Macaca mulatta: one gene and its partners. The protein of the gene in region 1 interacts with the protein of each later gene in a pairwise test. Links are inferred from orthologs where the notes say so. Each region holds a gene or a part of one and is shown on either strand. Other genes may lie near its edges. The genes, in order: PKNOX1, NUP58, PBX2 and PBX3.

Region 1 (5,409 bases):
TATTGCTGAGGTTTGAGGGTAGATATGGGAGAAGTTCAGCCCTGCCACAAATATGTAGCGTATGGGGTTAGGTTGTGTCTGTGACATGGTAAGAAGACCTTGGACTATTTGTTTTTGCTTCTCTGACTGCAATATTACTACATATTAGGAGATATAGCAATAGACAGAGGAGGAAGATTGCATGTGCGCTGTTCTCTTCAGTAGGGTATCGCCAGTGTTATTTTAAAATCACGAGCATTTCACAGACATTGGTTATTTCAGTTCTTTTTTTTTTTTTTTTTTTTTTTTGAGGCGGAGTCTCGCTCTGTCGCCCAGGCTGGAGTGCAGTGGTGCGATCTCGGCTCACTGCAAGCTCCGCCTCCCGGGTTCCCACCATTCTCCTGCCTCAGCCTCCCGAGTAGCTGGGACTACAGGCGCTGCCACCACGCCCGGCTAATTTTTTTGTATTTTTAGTGGAGACGGGGTTTCATTGTGTTAGCCAGGATGGTCTCGATCTCCTGACCTCGTGATCCGCCCGCCTCGGCCTCCCAAAGTGCTGGGATTACAGGCTTGAGCCACCGCGCCCGGCCGGTTATTTCAGTTCTTAAGCAGTTTGAAAATTTTACCTTTATCTGTTTTAAAGCACGTTAAATTCAAACGTGTTGGTAGTATTCCTTACATATGATTGCAGTCATACCGCTGTCTGGCAATTCCCCACTCCAACTGCATTCCTGTTGCAGCATGGAATACCTAGTAGTGGTTTGTGTTTGCTAATAAGAATTGTTTTCCTCCTTTTACAGATGCAAGTAGTGACAGAGTTAAAGACAGAACAAGATCCAAACTGCTCTGAACCCGATGCAGAAGGAGTGAGCCCTCCCCCTGTGGAGTCTCAGACCCCAATGGATGTGGACAAGCAGGCCATTTATAGGTAGTGCCGGGGGTGCCGGCTGTGGGGGCACTCAGAGGAGTGAGGAGCGTCGACAAGTTTGTTAAAAGGAACACTAGAACTAGTAGCGAGGCAGAGTTGTGAGGTGCCATTATGATGTGATAACTGCTCAGCTGAAAATTGTCTCAGATTAAGATGTTATTTCTGGCCAGGCATGGTGGCTCATGCCTGTAATCCCAGCACTTTGGGAGGCTGAGGCCGGCAGATCACTTGAGGTTAAGAGTTCAAGACCAGCCTGGCCAACATGGTGAAACCCCGTCTCTACTAAAAATACAAAAATTAGCCAGACATGGTGACATATGTCTGTAATCTCAGCTACTTGGGAGGCTGAGGCAGGAGAATCGCTTGAACCGGGGAGGCGGAGATTGCTTTGAGCTGAGATCGTGCCATTTCACTCCAGCCTGGGCAACAAGAATGAAACTCTGTCTCACACATACACACACAAAGATGTTATTTCTAATACCTAAAAAAGTTTTAGAAAATAAATCTATAAATTTATTGACATCACTCTGACACTAAGACCAAAGACAATACCAGGAAAATACAGGCCAGTATCCTTCACGAACTTAGATGTAAAAATCATCAATGCAATATTAACAAATCAATTCTAGCAATATGTGAAAAGAATAATACATAGCGACCAAGTCAAGTTTTTCCTGGGAACGCCAGACTGGTTTAGTATTTAAAAGTTGATCAGGCCGGGCACGGTGGTTCACCCCTGTAATCCCAGCACTTTGGGAGGCCGAGGTGGGTGGATCACCTGAGGTCAGGAGTTCTAGACCAGACTGGCCAACATGGCGAAACCCTGTCTTTACCAAAAAATATAAATATTAGCCGGGTGTGGTGGCGCATTCCTGTAGTCCCAGCTACTCTGGAGGCCGAGGTGGAAGAATCACTTGAACCTGGTAGGCTGAGGTTGCAGTCAGCTGAGATCGTGCCACTACACTCCAGTCTGGGTGACAGAGAGTGAGACCCTATCTCAAAAAAAAAAAAAAAAAAAATTTTTTTTAAAGTTCAGCGTAGAATTACATACAAGTCAGCAGTTCTACTTCTATGCATATATATACCTAAGACAAATGAAAAAAGTCCACACAAAAACGTGTACATGAATCTTCATAGCAGCACTGCCTGTCATGGCCAAAAGCTGGAAACAGTGCCCGTGCCCATCAACTAATGAATGAACAGACATATTATGGCATCTCCATGCAATGCAATAATATTTAGCAGTAAAAGGAATGAAGTGGCAGGTGCAGTGGCTCATGCCTGTAATCCCAGGACTCTGGGAGGCCGAGTCGGGCAGATCACTTTAGGTCAGGAGTTCGAGACCAGCCTGGCCAAAAATGGCGAAATCTTATCTGTACTAAAAATACAAAAATTAGGCCAGGTGCGGTGGCTCACGCCTGTAATCCTGGCACTTTGGGAGGCTGAGGTGGGCAGATCATCTGAGGTCAGGAGTTTGAGACCAGCCTGACCAACATGGAGAAACCCCATCTCTACTAAAAGTACAAAATTAGCTGAGTCCTGGTGGTGCGTGCCTGTAGTCCCAGCTACTCGGGAGGCTGTGGCAGGAGAATCACTTGAATCCAGGAGGCAGAAGTTGCGGTGAACTGAGATCACGCCATTGCACTCCAGCCTGGGCAACAAGAGCGAAACTCTGTCTCAAAAAATAAATTAGCCAGGCGTCATGGCAGGTGCCTGTAGTCCCAGCTACTTGAGGGGCTAAGTAGAAGAATCGCTTAAACCCGGGAGGCAGAGGTTGTAGTGACCCGAGATCCGGCCACTGCACTCCAGCTTGGGCCACAGAGCAAGACTCCGTCTAAAAAAAAAGGACTGATACCTGTTACAACACTGGTGAGCCTTGGACACATTATGCTGAGGGAAACAAGCCAGACACCACGGTCACATGTTATAAGATTCCCATTCATACGAAATGTCTAGAAGAGGCAAATGTATAGAGATAGCAAATAGGTTCTAGTCGGCTGGGGTTTGGGAAACAATGGAGAATGACTGCTATTAGATACAGGGTTTCTTTGCAGGGATGATGGAAATGTTCTAAAGTTGACGGTGGCAATGACTGTGCAACTCTAAAAACCGTTGAATTGCATACTTTAAATGGATGAACTGTGTGGTATGTGAATTTTCAACCAGCAGAGGTGTTAGGTGAAATAGTGCAGGCGTACGTGCAAAGACATTCTCATGGAGATGTAGAACGTAAATGGATTATTTTTGTCTTTTCTCCTCAGGCATCCACTATTTCCATTATTAGCTTTGTTGTTTGAAAAATGTGAACAATCTACACAGGGCTCCGAAGGCACAACTTCTGCCAGTTTTGATGTAGACATCGAAAATTTTGTAAGGAAGCAAGAGAAGGAAGGGAAACCTTTCTTTTGTGAAGATCCAGAAACTGACAATTTGGTAAGTGAAATAAATTTTATTTTTCAAAATGTGAAATATGTTTATGAAATTTTAGGCTTCTAAGTAGAACTGTAGACTGCTTGTAGTTCTGCTAAAGGAGAGACTCATACAACTCTAAAAGAACTAATTTTTATGGTGTGTGTAATGTGGATATGCCCGTCTTCCAGCCTTCTCTAGGTATCTTTTATTTAGTTAGTTTTTATTTTTAATTTATTTTATTTGTGTAGACACATCTTACTGTGTTCCCCAGGATGGCCTCAAACTCCTGGCCTCAAGCAATCCTCCCTCCTTGGCCTCCCAAGGCCAAACCTACCCTTTCCTTTAAAAATCAAATAAAGACTGGGTGCAGTGGCTCACGCCTGTAATCCCAGCACTTTGGGAGGCCAAGGCGGGCAGATCACGAAGTCAGGAGATTGAGACCATCCTGGCTAACACAGTGAAACCCTGACTCTACTAAAAATTCAAAAAATTAGCCGGGCGTGGTGGCGGGCACCTGTAGTCCCAGCTACTCAGGAGGCTGAGGCAGGAGAATGGCATGAACCTGGGAGGCGGAGCTTGCAGTGAGCTGAGATCGCACCACTACACGCCACTACACTCCATCCTGGGCGACAGAGCGAGACTCCATCTCAAAAAAAAAAAAAATAAAATAAAACAGGCCGGGTGGGGTGGCTCACTCTTGTAATCCCAGCACTTTGGGAGGCCGAAATGGGTGGATCACAAGGTCAGGAGTTTGAGACCAGCTTGGCCAACATGGCAAATCCCCGTCCTTACTAAAAATACAAAATTAGCTGGGCGTGGTGGCACACGCCTATAGTCCCAGTTACTCAGGAGGCTGAGGCAGGAGAAGCACTTGAACCCAGGAGGCAGAGGTTGCAGTGAGCCGAGATTGTATCACTGCACTCCAGCCTGGGTGACAGAGTGAGACCCTGTCTCAAAAAAAAAAAAAAATCAAATCAAATAATTTGAGTCGCCATGCCAGATGGACACGGGGATTCGGTTCTCTCTGCACAGCATTTGTAAAGGTCCGTAGGGCTGGGGTGTTCGGGCAACATGTCTGTGACCTGCGTCTGTCCTTGGTTTATCATAGACATGGACACAGACTTGAGTTGTATTCTCCAAGACAGCTCTGTCTAGAGGCTGACAGTGATTTGTGGTGCCTTCCTCCCAGGGCCAGGGCTCCAAGATCCAGCATTTTCTGTGCCCTCCGGAGGCAATGGAGAACTCCTTGGTTCCGTCATCACTGGATCGCTCTGAGCGAGCTGCGCCTGAGGCACCTGTGCAGCGCTGCCAGCTTGGTCTGGGCAGGCCACACTCTCTGGGTCTGCTCTCCTGCCAGAGCGTAACCACCGTGTTTGCTTCTCAGAGCTGGGTACATAAAGATCCGGCGTCAGGGAACCTTCACTGGATTCCCTTCGAGCCATCTTGGTCCCATATCAAAACCCTGGTTAGGGCCTTCAACAGAAAAGGTTTTTGGAAAACTAATTTTTCCTGAATAAATTGCAGAGGTCTTAGTTTTTAAGAAAATTCTGATTATATACTCAATGCTTACCACCAAATAGATTTTGTGGGTGAGTTATCTGACTTGGATCTGTCTCCTCCTCTCTGAGATGAGACTAACAGTGCACGCTCTTTGGGGGTGAGGATCCGACGCTCTCTCCACCCCTGAGTCTGTGGTCTGCATCCGTCTTCCCATTGGCCCACACCTGGCTTGGCCCAGTGAGCAGAGCACAGGTGTCCTCTGCACCTCACCAGGCTGGCAGGGACCAAGGTTCTCCTGACCGGTGAGTGTTTAGCACAGGGCCTAGCGGAGCTTGGCACTCCATCATTTTTGTTAATTGATTCATTTATTCACTGCATAGATACCTGTGAATTACTACCACCAGATTTACTGGTGAAGGACATGGGCTTCGGAGTTGCTGATTCATAGGCAACGGGTACTTATGATAATGACTGCATTATTGTATTAGTTATCTATTGCTGTGGGACAAATTACCCCAGAATGTAGTTACTTAAGATAAAACTATACAACTTTGGCCAGGCTCGGTGGCTCACACCTGTAATCCCAGCAC
Region 2 (5,973 bases), on another chromosome or scaffold:
CTGTAATCCCAGCACTTTGGGAGGTTGAGGTAGGCAGACTGCTTGAGCCCAGAAGCTTGAGACCAGCCTGGGCAACATGGTAAAAGTGTCTCTACCGAAAAAACAACAAAAAACTTTCAAAAAACAAAAATTAGCCAGGCGTGCTGAAGCATGCCTGCAATCCCAGCTACTCAGGAAGCTGAGGTGGAAGGATCACTTTAGCCCAGGAGGTGAAGGTTGTAGTGAGCTGAGACTGTACCACTGCATTCCAGCCTGGGAGACAGAGCAAGGCCGTCTCACAAAAAAAAAAAGAGGCCCACAGATCTTTAAACATTTAGTCTGAATTTAAAAGGTATTATTAAAAACACATTGCTACAACCAAAACTAAGTGAGATATCACACACACAGAAACCTAAGTGAGCGCGACAAGCAAAAGAATATAGTATGTAATGGCTATATCCAGACAACATAGGTACAACCATAAAAGGGCCATATATGCCAAAACATTTAGCTTCGCTGTGGTCAGTCTGATCGTATTGTTATTTTGAAACTGTTGTGTATATAATGTGGAGTAGAATAAATGAGTATCTGGGGGATACTAAAACATTATTGGTGGCTGGGCGCAGTGGCTCACGCCTGTAATTCCAACACCTTGGAATGCCGAAGAGGACGGATCACCTGAACCAGGAGTTTGAGACCAGCCTGGCCAACATGGTGAAACCCCGTTTCTACTAAAAATATCAAAAAAAAAAAAAAAAATTAGCCTGGTGTGGTGGTGTGCCTGTAATCCCAGCTATTCGGGAGGCTGAGGCAGGAGAATCGATTGAACCCAGGAGGCGGAGGCTGTAGTGAGCCGAGATTGCGCCACTGCACTTCAGGCTAGGTAACAAGAGCAAGACTCTGCCTCAAAAAAAAAAAAAAAAAAAAAAAAAGGGCCAGGCGCAGTGGCTCACACCTGTAATCCCAGTACTTTAGGAGGCCGAGGCAGGTGGATCATGAGGTCAGGAGATCAAGACCATCCTGGCTAACACGGTGAAACCCTGTCTCTACTAAAAATACAAAAAAAATTAGCCGGGCGTGGTGGTGGCGCCTGTAGTCCCAGCTACTCAGGAGGCTGAGGCAGGAGAATTGAGTAACCCAGGAGGCGGAGCTTGCAGTGAGCCGAGATTGTGCCATATATATATATACATATATATATTTTTTAATGTCTTGACAACATAACTGAAGATATTATGAAATATTACATAATTAAAGTTGAAAATGCTGCCAAAGAAACACATCAAAATGAAATTTTACTCTATCACAAAAGCAAAAGAGAAATTTTGGTGTCAGTGAAATTTACTAAACTCAAGAAAAGCAAAAGCTACCCTAGACTTGACCAATTATTGCCTCAAACCAATGTTATGTGCCAAGCACTTGATAGGATGTGCTGTATAAAAACCAACTTGACTCAATCACATCAGGAATGTTATTTTAACTTGCCAGCTTGCCCTAATGCGGACTTGGCAGCTAACATAATAGCTAACATTTACTGAGCACTTAGCAAGTGCCAGACTTGATGCTAAATATTCAAATGCTTCATCTCACTCATCAACTCAGGTAACCCACTCCTGAGTTGAGGAGTTCCAGATGTGAGAACTCCCCTAAAATGACCGACCTCAAGACATCAAATCACCAGGTGGCACTAGGGGCTGTCAGGCCTCCCAACCAGCACTCTAACAAATTTATGTCAGACTGTCTCCTCTTTCACTAATTTATCCAAGCCTCTCTAAAACTTGGGTAATTTTTTATAACTTATTACTAATAACTCATTTGCTCAGTCATTCAAATTGTTACTAAAGCCCTTTTTCTATGCCAGGCACTGTCCTTGGGACTGAGGAAGAGGTGGTAAGACTCAGACCCTGCCCTCAGGCAGTTTCTAGTTAGTGAGAAACACAGATATTAATTATTCTAGAGCTGAGATCTGACAACAAACAAGTTAACAATAAATGTAACAAACTGATTACAATTGTGATCAGCACTCTAAGAGTACTAGGAGAACAGAAATCTCCCCTAGACTGACAGGTCAGAAAAGGCCTCTCTGGGGAAAAAGACCATTTGATACTGGCAAGGAAGGGGCTGGCAAAGCCCACTTGAAAAGAGAAAAGGTCATGTTGCTAGGACAGGCTTTCTCACACTAAGATCAGGACCATGAGAGAAATATAAAAATTAATTCAAGTCATAAACAACATTAAAAAAAAAGAAATAGAATAGAAAATATCAAAGTGCATCCCATGAAGTAGGGGTTAGTATCTTTCTCGGAAACTTTATTTCAGTGATTTATTTGTGTGCAGGTAGTGGTGCACCGGGTGGTAGTTGCGTGTTTGTTTTTAACAGTGGGTCTGGATAACTAAAATAAAAAGACGGGCTCAAGATGAGTACCCAGAGGTTCCAGCAGAAGTGGACCTTGCAGACTATGGTAAGTTTTTTTGTTTGTCTGTTTTCTTTAACTTCACTCTAAAGATAGCGGGAAATGATTAAAGGGGGGAGCAATGACAATGTTTTAAAAAAAATTACTCTGGCTACAATGTGGCAGAACAGATTGAAGAAGTTGATTGGAGTAGTTTTCATCTAAAACAAGAAAGACAGCTGGTTAAAAATCTGACAAGAATCAGAAGTACTTTCGTAAGAATGTTAAGGATCAAGAGAGCAAGACTCTTAATACCTAAAACAGAGCCCTGCACATGGGAATCTGTCCAATAAATATTTGTTCCATGAATGATAATAGCCTGAGCAGGGTGGTGGAACTGGAAATAAAGACAAACGGAAATGGCAGAAGTAAAATTATTAGGACCTGCTGTTGAGCGAGTAAGAATAACGGAGGTACGGATGAAAATTCAAATTTCTGAATTTGACTGTGTAGCCTGTGATTCCTCCTCCCTCCCTTTTTAAACTGCAGGTCATGCTTAAGTTTTTGCCTTTTAAATCTACAGCCGCATCTTTTAAGCTTCAGGAAGTATCTTGTTGACAGTGTGCACACTCCTTAATTTTATGAACCCCTCCACCTTTATCTTTTAAAAAATTGAGTTCTAAAGCTTAAATCTCTCATTAAAATAAATGCCTCACCACTTTGTTTCTTTCTGGACAGTTATGTTTTTGTCGCCACCTGGACTAATGGGTTGCACAAAAACGAGGAACATGCTACCTACGTTTCGTAATTTAAGTAAAAGACAATGTTGAGTGATTACAACACAACATTCTTGCGTCAGATATACTAATCTGCACATAATGCACAAAATTACCACTAAAAAACACTGCAAAGAAGTGTTTTTTGTTGTTGTTGTTTTAACAAAAGCAGATGAGGTCCCATGTGGCACAGAAGCTTGAAAAGCTGGTTAAAAACAACCACAAAGTTATTAAAACACCGTAATATCCAAAACCGCAAATGCTGCAATGAAATTGGAATTATCTACCATAAAACTCCACAACATGCTATAATTTCATTCATTCATTCAACGTTCATTCTACGCCTAAGACTGACGCATCGCTAAAGCTCCGGGGAAGACCCCCAGGCCCCTCCACGCAGTCAAGACCTCACTAGGTCCAAACAATGCCTGAACTATACGCGGATCTGGAAACCTCACAGCACAAAACCCATCCCGCCCTCCACTTCACCAGGCCGCGCTGGGCCCGGGTACCGCGGCGAGCGAGAGGCCTACGACGCCGGGCGGCTAGATTATGTGCTTCTCTCCAGCCTCACCGGGAAGGAAGCCAGCGGGAAGAGAGAGGACGGGGACACGAGGGGAGCTTTGCGGGGGTGGGGCTCGGGGGGAATCCGGCCCAGGAAGGTGAGAAAGTGCGGTTACCTAGATGCTCCCGTTCCGAAGGAGAAACCGCCGCCCGTGCCGGTCCCGCCTGCGGCCACGGTGGTGGAGCCCAGAGTCCCGGACCCGAAGGAGAACCCTGTGGACATGTCTGCCCGGGGCTCGACGCCGTCAGCAAGATGAAAGGGCTCTGGGACACTGCTCTCGCCTCAAAGCCGAGGCGGGCCGGGGAACATCTCTCTAGCCCGGCACCGACCTGGCGAGAACTTCCAGCCCCAACGGCGGCGAAGGTAAGGCTGAGGGGGTGGAGCAACCACGCAAAAGTACGCCCGTCGCTCGCCGCGCGCACGTAGCCCGCCGGAAGTGAAACCGCCGCGCAGGGAGCTCTGGGACGCCAGTTGGGAGGGGTGCGGGGGGGGGGGGGGTCGGCGAGCCGCGCAAGGCACCCCGGGACCAGGTGGGCTTGGCGCACGGCCCAATCTCTTAAAGGAGTAGGCTCCCAGAGTTTAAAAACAGTGAAACCATTTCTGTCATTTTTTAGTTGTTCTATCGTAGCATCCGTACTGACATAATCTGCACATTAGAATGATGAATGTCAATTACTGCTCATATGTAGCCTCCTGCCAAAAATGATGCTCAGAATCGGGGAGGTCCCTCCTGAGCATCTCCTAGCTCCCCACCCAGAAAAGGAGGCGGCTTCGGGCCTTCGTTGGCTGCCGCCCCATCATCTCTTAAGAAGGAAGGGGAGCGTGTCTGCTTCCTGAAGGTTCGGAAATCAATCGAAAATAATCCATGCAACCGTCCGACGACGTGAGCCCCACCCCTGCGCCTCAGGCCAGCTGGACGCCGTTGTTGCGAGCCCGACGCGCGGCCCTGAAATGGGCCCAGAAGAGCGTCCCCGGCGTCCGTGGGGTGGCCGGCTGTGGTCCTAGCGCCCAGAAGTGGCCAGGCCCGCGGGATTTCCTGGTCTGCGGTCAAGTCCACAAACGCCGTACGCGCATCCTGATGCGGGAGGGCGGGACCTGGGGCCGAGCGCGGGCGGCTGCGCCGGAAGCGCGGTGCAGGGCTGTAGGGCGCGCGGACACACCGCGTGCTGCAGGCACCGTGAAGTGGAAGGTTAGGAAACGCACAGGAACGTGTACGAGAGAAGGCGAGATGTGGAGGGGAACTCACATTTCTAGGGTAACTCAAGAAAAATTCGCGTTTAAAGAGAACCTCTCTGGCGAAGCGTCGGGAAAGGCTTCCTGGTGGTGGTGCATTCGAGGGTGGTTGTCGTAGTGTTCGTTTTTATTTTTCCCTCAGGAATTGTTATATTACCCCCCCCAATGGTGTTCCCACTCGTGATCTCTAACAAAATCCATCCCATAAGCAACCCCCGGATTTATGATCTAAAAAGCCCAGTGGCTCTTTAGTCTGGCACTTGATGACCTCCGTATGAGGAGTCTTTCTAACCTCATCTCACAGCTCTCTGTAATTCAGTACTTTAATCTTGCGTTGAGCTTGGGCATTGCCACCAGCTGTGGACGGAACTATTTCCCTCCTCCCCCAATCCGTATGTTAAAGCCCCGCCCCACCCCGATATGTTGGTATTTGGAGATGGAGCCTTTGGGAGGTAATTCAATTTATATGAGGTCACCCGGGTGGGTCCCCCATGGCGGGATTAGTGCCTTTAAGAGAAAAAACAACAAAGAGCTTGTTCTCCTTTGTGTGCCATGTGAGGACAGAGCAAGAAGGGGCTTTCACCTGGAACCCAAACTGCCCCATCTTTATCTGGGACTTAGTCTCCGGAATTGAGAGAAGTAAATGGTGTTACAGCCACCTCAGTCTATGGTATTTTGTTACATCAGCCAAGCAGACTAATACACCACCTCTGTGTTTGTATAATTGAAACATGTACATTTTATTTTATCTATTTTTTAACTTAATTTATTATTTTTTAAATTTATACTGTATTTTGAGATGGAGTCTCGCTTTGTGGCCTTGGCTGGAATACAATGGCCTATCACTGCAACCTCCGCCTCCTGAGTTCAAGCGATTCTCCTGCCTCAGCCTCCCGAGTAACTGGGATCACAGGCGCACACCACCACGCCCGGTTAATTTCTGTATTTTTTAGTAGAGATGGGGTTTCACCATGTTGGCCAGGCTGGTCTCGAACTCCTGGCCTCAAGCGATCTGCCCACCTCGGCCTCCC
Region 3 (6,029 bases), on another chromosome or scaffold:
GCTGTACATCTGGCCTCCCCCGAGGTTCTCCCCATAGCCCCCTGGCCCCATCGAGTGTCGGAGTGACTCCACCTGCAGGCAGCGGAGGAAGGTGTGACAGTGAAGAGAACTCAGAGGAAAGAGGTCTTGGATCCTCAAGTAGGGGAAATGGAGTTGGGGAAAGCCCTACTGGAGAGGAGATGGGCATCTGACCTGGGAAGCAGAATAGGAATCTCCGTTGAGCCCAGGCATCCCCAGAAACATGTCTCCAGATCCTGAGAGATTGAAAGAGCCGCCAGAGCCTTGTGGGGGGCAGAGAGGGAAGAGTGTAATAGAGCCCGTGATGGTAGAAAGGGGATGAACCACAACTCTCAGCTCTTGTGGGGACGTGCTACTATACTCCAATTATCCACAAAACAACACTGCAACACGCAGAAAGAGCAGGCTGTTCCTTAGCCTCCCATGGCCACCCGTGGGAAGAAAGGCAGAACTAAGTTCACTGGAGTGGCCTCTGTCCCTTGACATCTCCAGCCTATCTCAGCTTGGTCCCTGTCACCCCAAAAGGCCCCCTCTCTGCTATGATCTTGCCTAGGTAGGAAGTGGGAACAAAAGCAGGAAGTGTGCAAAACAGTCAGCCGGGGTGACAGTAGGATCCACCTGCAGAGGAAGGGGGTGTCGGGGAGCTGGTGCGGCTGTGGCCCCCCTGGGTGACTGACACGGCGGTCTTGACAGCATAGATGTTTGCCTCCTCTTGGAACTTTCCGATGTTTTTCTTATAGCGAATCCTCTTGTTGCCAAACCAGTTGGAGACCTGTGGGGCAGAAAGGAGGGTCGGGTAGAAACATTTGCCTCCGAAGCCCTTCACTGAATAAGATGTGAGTGACAGCATTTTTTTTTCTTCTGGTCTCACTATGCTGTTGCCCAGGCTGGTCTCCAACTCAAGTGATCCTCCCACTTCAGCTTCCCTAGTAGCTGGGATTACAGGAACACACCACTGCACCTAGCTGAGATGCGTGCATTTTGCCTGACAACTCCTCCCGAAACCTCCATAATACCTGAGACACGGTGATGCCACACTTCTTGGCAAGCTCCTCCTTGGCCTCCTCACTGGGATATGGGTTACTCAGGTGGGAGTAGAAATACTCATTGAGGACCTCAGTGGCCTGTTTGCTGAAGTTACGGCGCTTTCGTCTACAGAGAAGGGAGAAGAGCGGTGAGGAGGGTGTTGGTGTCCTGGCAGGGCTGTTACATGGCATGACCCCAGAGTCACCATTGTCATGGAGTACCACGTTGTGCAGCATGGCAGCTAAGGGTCTTGGAGAGGAATGGGAAGGAGCCCAGTGCTGGGGGCCAGCTCGGGTCCCTGGGCCCACCTGGCGTCCAGGAAACGGGAACGCAGGATCATGACAGCCTCACAGGTGCTCTGCTTGAGCTGCATCTGGATGGCGCTGAACTTTCGATGGATGATGCTCACCATGCGTTCCATCTCTTTGGGGGCCACGGGCCTGGTGCGGCTCTGCTCCCTCAGCAGGTTCATGACATGGGTTGTGAACTCATTACATGCCTGTAGTGGGGGCCAGTGGGCTGCTGAGAAGGAGCCCTTTGGCCATGGGATTCCCCTGCAAGAGCCCTTCCCTCCACCCTCCTCTCCTTACCTGCTCATACTTCTCCAGCTCCGAGTGGTATATGTGACGGATCTGGGCAAGTTTGCTGCGATAGTCCGAGTGTTCGATGGAGTTGTCAGGGGACACGCCGCCCCCAGAGGCTGCAGCGGCTGCAGCTGCTGCTGCTGAGCCGCCCCCTTTCTCGGGCCCAGCCACACCCTCTGCCAGAAGCATGTTGTCCAAGCGCATCAGCTGTGGGTCCACCGGCTCCTCCTCCTGGGAGCTCCGAATGCTGAGGCCTAGCATGCAGGCGAGTGGACTTAAGGACCCAGGGACCCCATACCCAGTGCTCAGTCCTCCTGGTGCTTCCTGGAGAGCCAAGTTCCCAGGCTTTGGTTCCTTCCCCAGTGCCCCTGACTCCTCACTTTCCTCAGGCCCCCAAGCTGTCACACTCTAGCCCTATAATGAACAGATTTGTGTCCCCAGAGTTGAGCAACCAGAGGAGGGCCCACATACCGGTTTTCTCCTTGATTTCACACAGGACGCTAAAGAGAGCAGGCTTCATTCGGTGGCAGTTTAGGGCGTGTTTCCTTGGGAGGAGTGGGAGTGGGGAAAGAGAAAAGTTGAGGAGCTAGAGAAACAGAGCAGGGGGCCTGAGAACAAGGAGGGAGGAGGGTCAATCTGCAGAGGGAGGAAGCGGATTGGGGGTGGAATGGAGTTGGGGAGGGGAGTTCTTGGGAAAAGATCAGCTCCCAGAGCATGGGGAAGCTGCTCGGCTTCAGGGTGACACAGGGAAGATGCAGGCAGCAGGCTAAAGGCCGGGGGCTTTGGGAGATGGTCTAGAAAAGTATGAGGAGGAATTTGGGAGTGGATGGAGAAAGGAAAGTGACTTGGTAGGTTTCAGAGGTAGAGAGACTGAGGCTGGGGTTGAGAAGAGTCGGAGTTTGAGGTGGCAGAGCGGGACTGGGGGTGCCGAGCTAACTGGGGACATCAGTGTTGTGTGTGTGAAGGGGTCCTGGGGCTGAGCAGGTGGGAGGCTTTGATGCACCTAGTGTCTGGCTGAGCCGTGGAGAGGAGCTTTAGGGGCTCTGGAGAGGGTGTGGAGGTCTCCACATCTGGACAGAATGAAGGGGCTGGGTGGAGAGTTAGGGAAGAAGATAACATAGCCCAAGAACAGTTTCTGAGTCTGGGAGCCAGAGGGGGCTCCCGGAGATGGGGCTGTTCCAGGGGAGTGTGGGGGTCAGCAAAAGGTTAGGAGTGGGGAGCGGGGCCACCTGGGGTTCCCTCTGTGAAGGTTTCAAGGCCTGGGGGTGAAGGGAGGTTTGAGAGGGATCACTTTTCTAGGGGCTCCCAGGAATGAGAGAAGAGAGCTGTTGGATCCTGGAAGAGGGCCCTGGAGTTGGGGGGCTCCCAGTAGATTCAAAGCATGTGAACGGGGTTTGCTGGGTCTGTGTGGGGTCCCGGGGTGGGGGCACTCACTTGGCCTGGGCCTCGTCCAGGCTCTGGTCGGTGATGGTCATTATCTGCTGCAGAATGTCCCCGATGTCTTGCTTCCCTCGGCCTCCCGGGACCCCCCCGCTACCCCCACCGGGGTCTCCGCCACCGGGAGGCTCGCCAGGGCCCCCAGGCTCCCCACCCACCAATCCCAGGCCCCCCCGGCCCCCGCCTGGAGGGGGCGGCCCCAGTAGCCGCTCGTCCATAGCTGGGGGGGGGCCCTGAGGCCCCCTCCCTGCTCCGCCCCTCCCCCCCGCCTGGTTACTTCTCCCCCCAAACTCGCTGGGGCCGCTGCTCCCTCCGCCCCAACCCCCGCCCGTCTGCCCCCGGCTCCCGGCTCCCCCGGGGGTTCACCCCGGCACTGAAGGGAGACCTGGGGTACCGGCTGGGCCCCCCACAGGAGACCCCGGCCCCCGGCGGCGGAGAAAATGGAGCCGGAGAGAGAGAGGAGGCCCAAGCGGGGGTGTGTGTGAGAGAGAGGGAGGAGGGAGGAGGGAGAAGGGGGGGAGCGAGGGAGGGAGGCTGGGGGAGGGGAGCCGGGGAGGAAGAGGAGGGGAGAAGAGAGGAGGAACAGGGAGGAGCTGGGGGCGGAGAGAGAGACACAGAAACAGAGGAACTGAGACCGAGTGGAGGAGGGGAGAGGGAAGAGGGGCTGAGGGGAGGAGACGGGCCATCTGAAAAATATGGGAAAGCCCCCTGGCTGGACTTCCGCGGCCTGGGAGTGGGGGCGTGTTGGCGGCTGCGGGGATCTGCCACCTGGGTCCTGAATCAGGGATCTAGGCGATGTGGACTCACGCCGCTGGAATGCCTGGGTTCACCGACAGCTCAGTTCATATTTCTTGTTCTAATGACTCCCCTCCCTGTTCTACTTAATTAAAACCAGGAGAGGGGGGCTGGGGGAGATAATTAGGGAGGTCTCCAGCCGCTGCTTAATGAGCCAGTAATTAACCAGCCAGGGAGGGGAGCTGGCCTCTGGCCAGACTGGGGAGAGAGGCGGCCTCTGGCCTCACCTTCCTACCCTTCACCCCGCCCTGGTCCCCCAGACACCAGTCTTCAGTCCAGAGGGGTATTACATTTATTCACACAACCAAAACATTGGACAGACTCAGCAGCAGTGGGGAGGGAGGGTGGGCAGGGCTGAAGGTCCATTCACAGCCTCTAAACCCCTCAGTCTCAGGGATGGGGGGTGCTGGTAGTGGGACTGGGAGAATAGTCTTAATCTCTCAGGTGCCCACCCACCTTCCCTTCTTACTGGGAGGAAGGGTAGAGCTGTCTCTCAGGTTATAACCTCTCAGGAGGAGGCCTGAGCCCTCAGACCCTAGTGCCTAGTAGCTCGACAATTGGTGGTGTCCCCACAAGTTAGGGAAAAGACTCCCAGCCACTCATTGAGATGGGTGCTTGGGATCCCCCTTACTGCCTCAAGCTCCCATGGACCTGTGCAGGGGGGAGTTAAATCCACGTTCCACCTCGCCTGTTCCCAGAGTTTGAGGCCTTTCACCCCGTCCAGTTCCCAAGGAAGGTGATGTGGGCGATGAATATTGAGATTTGCGCTGCGTCTTTCAGTCTCTGTTACCCCCGCCAAGCAAGAGTTGAGGGCATGCAATAGGCTGCCCAGCTTTCAGACCAGGGGCGAGGAAGGGCTGGCTGGGGGCTCAAGTCTCAGCAGGTGTGTGTGGGGGGCCGGGACCTTTGCTCCTCCATTCGACCCCCACCCTGAACTCTCAGCAGCAACTCCAGGAGCTCCTGCCCCCCTGGAGGGAGGGGAGGCTCTGACCGCTGGGCTTCCATCCGCTGGCACTGGAGGAGTGGAGGCAGAGGAAGAGCTTTGGTGAGGGTCGGAGGGGAGGAGGTTCTTGAGAGGATCAAGGGTTGGTATGGGGAGGCATATAGGAAACCTGTGAAGGTGATGGGGTGCCTAGGGAGAAGCAGGAGTAGAACCCAAAAGAGAACAGGGCCAAGAGACCAGGAGGCCTGGGTTTGCCTCCTGGGGGGATGTCTTACCTGGTGACTGAGGATGGTGCTGTAAAGCTGTTCTCTGTCCTCAAGAGGACGGAGTGGGGCAGGGGCTTGGCTTGGGGGGTTTTGTGGGGTGAAGAAGGTGGCCCTCTGCTCCTCTAGGCGGCGGGACTGGGCTTCAGCCACCAGGTCCAGAAGGAGCTCAGTCTGCAGGGAGAGCAGGGAGGCCGAGCGGGGTCCTAGTGCTGGGGAGAGGGGTGTGGAGGGCTCAGAGACCCAGAGAGGTTGGCAGACAGGAGCCGTGGGGGAGTGTGGATAGGGTGATGTGATTAGGGACTTTGGGTCAGAGGAGAGGCGGTGCAATGGGTAATCCCAAGGGGAGTCTGGAGGAGGTGGGGAGAGGGCCCACAATGGACTGGGCCTTGGTAATGGGATCAGGATGTGGGCACCAGGGTCAGGGCTCTCCCTGGGTGGGTAGGGGTACCTGTGTGGCGGGTCCCTGGAGGAGGAGGGGACGGAGGAGCAGATCGCCAAGGCCGAGTGGTGGAGTTTGGAGGGGGCCAGCCTTGCTCATCCTGAGGGGGGCCCTGATGCCAAAATATGTCCATTCCAGTCAAGCAGTGGTGGTTGAAGTGGGTGGAGTGGACAGGGGCTAGGTCAGTGGCCCGTTTCCTCTCTGTGTGTCTCTGTTCCTGCCTCAGTTTGCCCAAGCCTTTCAAGGCCCCTGTGTCCCTACATTTCTGCCCCAGATCCTCTCACCTCCCTTCTTTCCCAGTGTCAGCCTCCCCAACCCCGTGCCCAGCTCACCTGCTCACCATCCTCTTCTTCCTGGGGTCTCTCAGCCTCCATCCCCTGGAGGGGAGAAACTGGTGGGGGAGGGGTGGCTGGGATTTGGGAGGAGGGCCGGAACCTTGGGTTCCTGAGGGGAGTGGGGGCTGGAAGGGGTGGGGGTGAGCTGGGGGCTGGATGCCTGGGTACTGAGCAGGAAGCTGAGTT
Region 4 (5,409 bases), on another chromosome or scaffold:
TAATATGTGTCTCATAATATATTTCTATTGGACAGTATTACTCTAGAGAGAAATTTTTTGGCCACATTTATTTGGGAAAAAGTTGGATATACTGTTTCTCCTTGAAGATTTATTACAAATATTGGGATAGAAATACTGAAGAGTCTTATCCACAAACATTTTTTAAGATTTTGGTTAACCCAGCATATCCCAAACATACCATATTGTTGGACCATTAGTTAACATTCTATGAAACTAGCTGTAGAACTGTAGAATTTGTTAATCCCAGTTTGGGAATAGTTCTAGTTCAATTATTGTTGTTTTACTCATGAGAATACTGAAGGGTAGAGTTGGCCACATTATATAACTTGGAAATTATATAAACATCTCCTTAGGGAAAGTTCAAGAAAAAGCTATATATATATATATATATATATATATATATATATATATATATTTACTGGTAGGGTGACCACTTGTTTCTAATTTGGCATAAAATTGTTTAAATTGATAATATAGGCCGGGCATGGTGGCTCATGCCTGTAATCCCAGCACTTTGGGAGGCTGAGGCAGGCGGATCACTTGAGGTCAGGAGTTTGAGACCAGCCTGGCCAACATGGTAAAAGCTTGTCTCTACCAAAAATACAAAAATTAGCTGGGCGCAGTGGCTCACACCTGTAACCCCAGCACTTTGGGAGGCCGAGGTGGGCAGATCACGAGGTCAGGAGATCGAGACCATCCTGGCTAAAACAGTGAAGCCCTGTCTCTACTAAAAATACAAAAAATTAGCCGGGCGTGGTGGCGGGCACCTGTGGTCCCAGCTACTCAGGAGGCTGAGGCAGGAGAATGGTGTGAACCCAAGAGGCGGAGCTTGCAGTAAGCCAAGATCGCGCCCCTGCACTCCAGCCTGGGCGACAGAGCAAGGCTCCATCTCAAAAAAAAAAAAAAAAAATTAGCTGGGCACAGTGGCATACGCCTGTAATCCCAGCTACTCGGAAGGCTGAGGCATGGGAATCACTCAAACTTGGAAAGCAGAGGTTGCAGTGAACCAAGATTGTGCCACTGCACTCCAGCCTGGGCAGCAGAATGAAACTGTCTCAAAATAAATATATAGGCCATGTACTGTTTATTACAGGCTCACGCCTATAATCCCAGTACTGTGGGAGGCTGAGGCAGGTAAATCGCTTGAGGTCAGGAGTTCGAGACCAACCTGACCAACATGGTGAAACCCCATCTCTACTAAAAATACAAAAAAAAATTACCCGGGCATGGTGACACACGCCTGTAATCCCAGCTACTTGGGAGGCTGAGGCAGGAGAATAGCTTGAACTTGGGAGGCAGAGATTGCAGTGAGCCAAGATCGTGCCATTGCATTACAGCCTGGACAACAAGAGCTAAACTCCATCTCAAAAAATAATAATAAAATAAATTGATAATATAGTGGCGAAGATCTTAAATTTATTTTTTTAAATCTTGGTTTCTGCCTTCAACTTCTGGTTTTAGTCTACAATATTGCTTAATGTTTTACTATGTCATATCCTAGGATAATGATTACTAACCTTTTAAAATTATAGACTGAGAATCTGAAAAGAAAACAAAAACTTCACAGATTCATCAGAATTATTAATATTCACACAACTTGTATAGGATTTCAGGAGGTCATTGACCTTCTAAACCTATCCATTGACTGCAGATTAAGAATTCTTCTCTTATGGTTCAGGGATAATGAATTTATGGCTATTAACCAACATAACTCTCACTCTTGAATTGTAGTATTAAAAAGCCCACCAATTTGTAGATGTTTATTAGATATGTATATTGCATAATTCTACACTCTGAAGAATCCTGTATCATATAGTGTCACCACTCGCAAGGAATGTAATATTTCCTACGGCTTAAAACATTTTTGAAAAAACTTTACATAGTAAGACTCATTTTACCTTATCTTAGAAATATTTATGGAAAGCTCTGTAAAAGCGTAGAGTAAGTGAAATACACAGTGTACAGGAAAGGTTAGTCCTCCAATGAGCAGTTAGAAAAACCATCGTGTGCTATATGTAAGCAGTGTTCAGGATACCTGTAGGGAAGTGGACATTATCATAACTTCCAAACACGTCTTGCATTAATCAGTGATTGTTCTGTCTGCTCACTCTATCAGGGACACCCGTGCAGTAAGATGCAGAATTTCCCATCCTGCTTTTTTAAGAAAAATGCCAGAAGAGACTTTTCTTCTTCAGGAGTATAAACTGATGCTTTATTTACCAGGGCAGTACCGGATTTCAGTGTAGGCCCAGTTATACAGATTTATAAATCAAAGAGAATATAGATGAAGTTGGATACAGTGGCACACACCTGTAATCCTAGCAGCTCAGGAGGCTGAGGTGGGAGGATCTCTTTAGGCCAAGAGTTTGAGACAAGTCTGAGCAACATAGCAAGACCCTGACTCTAAAAAATGATTTAAAAATTAGCTGGGGGCCAGGCGCGAGGGCTCACGCCTGTAATCCTAGCACTTTGGGAAGCCGAGGCGAGCAGATTGTCAGAGCTCAGGAGTTTGAGATCAGCCTGGGCAGCATGGTGAAACCCCATCTCGACTAAAAGAAATTAGCTGGGTGTGGTGATGTGCACCTGTAGTGCCAGCTACTTGAGAGGCTGAGGCAGGAGAATTGCTTGAACTTGGGAGGCGGAGGTTGCAGTGAGCCGAGATTGTACCACTGCACTCCAGCACTCCAGCCTGGGTAACAGAGTGAGACTCCGTCTCTACAAAAAATAAATAAATAAATAATTAGCTGGGTATGGTGGCACATGCCTATCATCACAGCTACTTGGGATGCTGAGATGGGAGGATTGCTTGAGCCCAGGAGCTTGAGGCTGCAATGAACTATGATCATACCACTGCACTCCAGCCTAGGTGACAGAGTGAGACTCTGAATTTTAGGGGAAATGTGTGTGTGTGTGTGTGTGTGTGTGTGTGTGTGTATGTGTGTGTGTGTGTGTACTGAAAGAGACAATGTCTGAGGATTGTTAACTAAAAAGTTTGAGACCCAAATCTGATCCTTATTTTCTGTTGGACATCTCTTGAAGAGTTGAGCTGCTATACAGAGATGGCTTATATCCACTAAAGGCCTGCACTACAGCTAAATTGTAATAGGTCGTTGGAATGCTTGGCATGCAAGGCCCTTTATGTGCTAATTCAAGCCTGAATCCTTCTTGCCTCTTTACATATTATCTGTATTCCTACTTGCCATATTCTGAACTTGCAACATACTGTTAATTTCTAGTGCCTGGAATTCCTCCTGACTTCCATCTTTATCTACCTTTCAAAGATGCTACCTATTCTTTAAAGCGCAATCCATGAAGCCTACAGATGAGAATATTCCTTCCTTGGAACTTATTAATATCTTCCTGTTAGTCTTTGCACTGAATTAGTTTTTTATATATTTTTTCTCACCAAAGGCCAGGCCTGCATCTTACTCATTTCTATGTTCCTTACAGCACTGGCAAGAGTTTGAACTTTGTAGTTGTTCAGTAAGCATTTGTTGACTAAATGTAAAACCCCAGAGAAAATAGGTGGTACTTAGTATTAACAATTAACATATATTTTTATTTGTATATGGGAATTGGTAGGGAGCATCCTCGAATGGGAAAACATAATTTTGGAACTAGACAGGGGTGGGTGGGAAGAGCAGCTGAATGCTATCTCCCTTGCACATCTGACCATGCACGGTTTCAGAATTCTTGCTGCTTTAACTACTATTACTACCATTTTGAAAGTGTCTTAGTTTTCGTTTTACCCTACACACTGTATAATGCTATTGGTGATTGCAAATGAGGTGTAAATTCAGATGTTAATCTCTTTATGTGATAATATAAAATATCAGTTTCCAAAGGAGTGATTTTTTTTTTCCCATTACAGGCATGTAATGAATTTACTACACATGTGATGAACCTTCTCCGAGAACAGAGTAGAACACGTCCCATTTCTCCAAAAGAGATTGAAAGAATGGTGGGCATCATCCATCGAAAATTTAGTTCCATTCAAATGCAACTCAAACAAAGCACTTGTGAAGCAGTTATGATTTTAAGATCAAGGTTCCTCGATGCCAGGTATGTGAAGCCATAAATCTATTGCATGGCTTTCCCCCGTCTTTCACTCCTTGTATATTCTTTTCTGTAAAACTGACCCATTGGTCTTAAATTCTTTTGGCCATATGAGCTCTTTTGTGCAATGGACAGGTAATTCAACTCATGGTGCCTGTGCTGTCAAGCTTTCCTGTCTGGGAATGGTAGTGTAGTGTGGGTTAGTTGCCAGTTTAGTGACTCAGGAAATGAATAGGATTGGCGTCTCTGCTGATGGCTTTAGGAATATGTAGCCTTTCCATTCTGATGCTAAAAAGTGTTTTTAAGGATAGTTTTCTGCATATAACTATTTTAACAAGGGGTATTTTCTAAGAGTTTCTTAATGTTACACTGCTTGTGCATATTATCGGAAAATACTTGGAGATATTGATACTCCTAAGAAGGAAGAGGCATTTCAGTTAATAGCAGTTACCACAAAGCTCCAGAGTCTGTATATCCAAATCAAGAAAGAAAGCCTATCATTTTTCCTGTAAGGATGAAAATTTCCCTTTATCCGAAGCTTTCCCCAAGTTTCACAGGAGTTAGGTAATATATTGTATATGGTAATAAATTGTATGTGGTGACCTACTGAGTGACAGAACAGAAGAATTGTCAACGTCCTAGTGTACGCTGCCTCTGTAGGGATGCCTCTCGGGGCATTGCCAAAGCTTATGATCAATCTGCAGCTTTGGAAAGGAGTTTCTGTTTTGTTTTTCTTTCTTCTCCCATGGAATCTGACAGAGGTGATAATTATCATCCAAATCTCACAATATTAAAGGAAATGACTAAGATAGCTTCTCAACTGGAAAACAAAGTGTGTGGAGCATTTTCAGCGTTTTTCATGTTAGCTCTTTCTTTCCGTCTCAGTTCCTGTCCATCCTTTTGTACGTGAACTAGCACAGTACCTACTAGTCTCCCTGTCTCCAGTCCTACTGCCCTCCAGCCCATCCTCCATATCCCTTGTTTGTTTCTATAACATCACTGTGCTACTCTGATTGCTTTGCTTAAAAACTACGGTAGTTTTCCAATGCTGGATATATGCATACTTCACATATACACTCCTTATCCTGACATTTAAGGCCCGTCCCTGTCTGCATTGCTTCTTTGTTGTTGTGAAGATTTTATTATTCTTTTTTCTATTTAAAAAATGCCAAGCTCACTATGGAAAGTTTGGAAAATATATGGAATAAAAGGATAAGGATAAAAGTTAACCTCATTTTTATTACCTAAAGAAAAAAAAATCACTATAAATGTTTTATTCTCTCTCTTTTTGTTTGGGGGCTTTTTAAAAGAAATATTTCTGTGATGGGTCAA

The links.
Region 2: the proteins of PKNOX1 (region 1) and NUP58 interact in binary tests that used the Homo sapiens proteins (3 or more experiments, as listed by UniProt). The link is inferred for Macaca mulatta from reciprocal best matches to the Homo sapiens genes PKNOX1 and NUP58.
Region 3: the proteins of PKNOX1 (region 1) and PBX2 interact in binary tests that used the Homo sapiens proteins (3 or more experiments, as listed by UniProt). The link is inferred for Macaca mulatta from reciprocal best matches to the Homo sapiens genes PKNOX1 and PBX2.
Region 4: the proteins of PKNOX1 (region 1) and PBX3 interact in a two-hybrid assay, tested with the Homo sapiens proteins (2 studies listed by BioGRID and IntAct). The link is inferred for Macaca mulatta from reciprocal best matches to the Homo sapiens genes PKNOX1 and PBX3.

What each region holds. Positions count from the first base shown.
Region 1 is NC_133408.1:4,481,781-4,487,189, reverse strand, and holds part of PKNOX1 (homeobox protein PKNOX1), read left to right. Parts: intron 1-779; coding exon 780-907; intron 908-1,397; exon of another isoform or gene 1,398-1,899; intron 1,900-3,168; coding exon 3,169-3,340; intron 3,341-4,508; exon of another isoform or gene 4,509-5,121; intron 5,122-5,409. UniProt on the Homo sapiens protein: Activates transcription in the presence of PBX1A and HOXA1.
Region 2 is NC_133422.1:5,529,135-5,535,107, reverse strand, and holds the start of NUP58 (nucleoporin p58/p45), read right to left. Parts: upstream 4,081-5,973; 5' UTR 3,932-4,080; coding exon 3,825-3,931; intron 1-3,824. UniProt on the Homo sapiens protein: Component of the nuclear pore complex, a complex required for the trafficking across the nuclear membrane.
Region 3 is NC_133409.1:150,129,087-150,135,115, reverse strand, and holds the start of PBX2 (pre-B-cell leukemia transcription factor 2), read right to left. Parts: upstream 3,522-6,029; 5' UTR 3,284-3,521; coding exon 3,063-3,283; intron 2,174-3,062; coding exon 2,100-2,173; intron 1,883-2,099; coding exon 1,635-1,882; intron 1,544-1,634; coding exon 1,353-1,543; intron 1,171-1,352; coding exon 972-1,170; intron 791-971; coding exon 637-790; intron 282-636; coding exon 188-281; intron 92-187; coding exon 1-91. Other genes in the region: GPSM3 (G-protein-signaling modulator 3), read right to left, coding at 4,737-4,874, 5,079-5,278, 5,518-5,620, 5,841-5,882. UniProt on the Homo sapiens protein: Transcriptional activator that binds the sequence 5'-ATCAATCAA-3'. Activates transcription of PF4 in complex with MEIS1.
Region 4 is NC_133420.1:21,803,789-21,809,197, reverse strand, and holds part of PBX3 (pre-B-cell leukemia transcription factor 3), read left to right. Parts: intron 1-3,892; coding exon 3,893-4,083; intron 4,084-5,409. UniProt on the Homo sapiens protein: Transcriptional activator that binds the sequence 5'-ATCAATCAA-3'.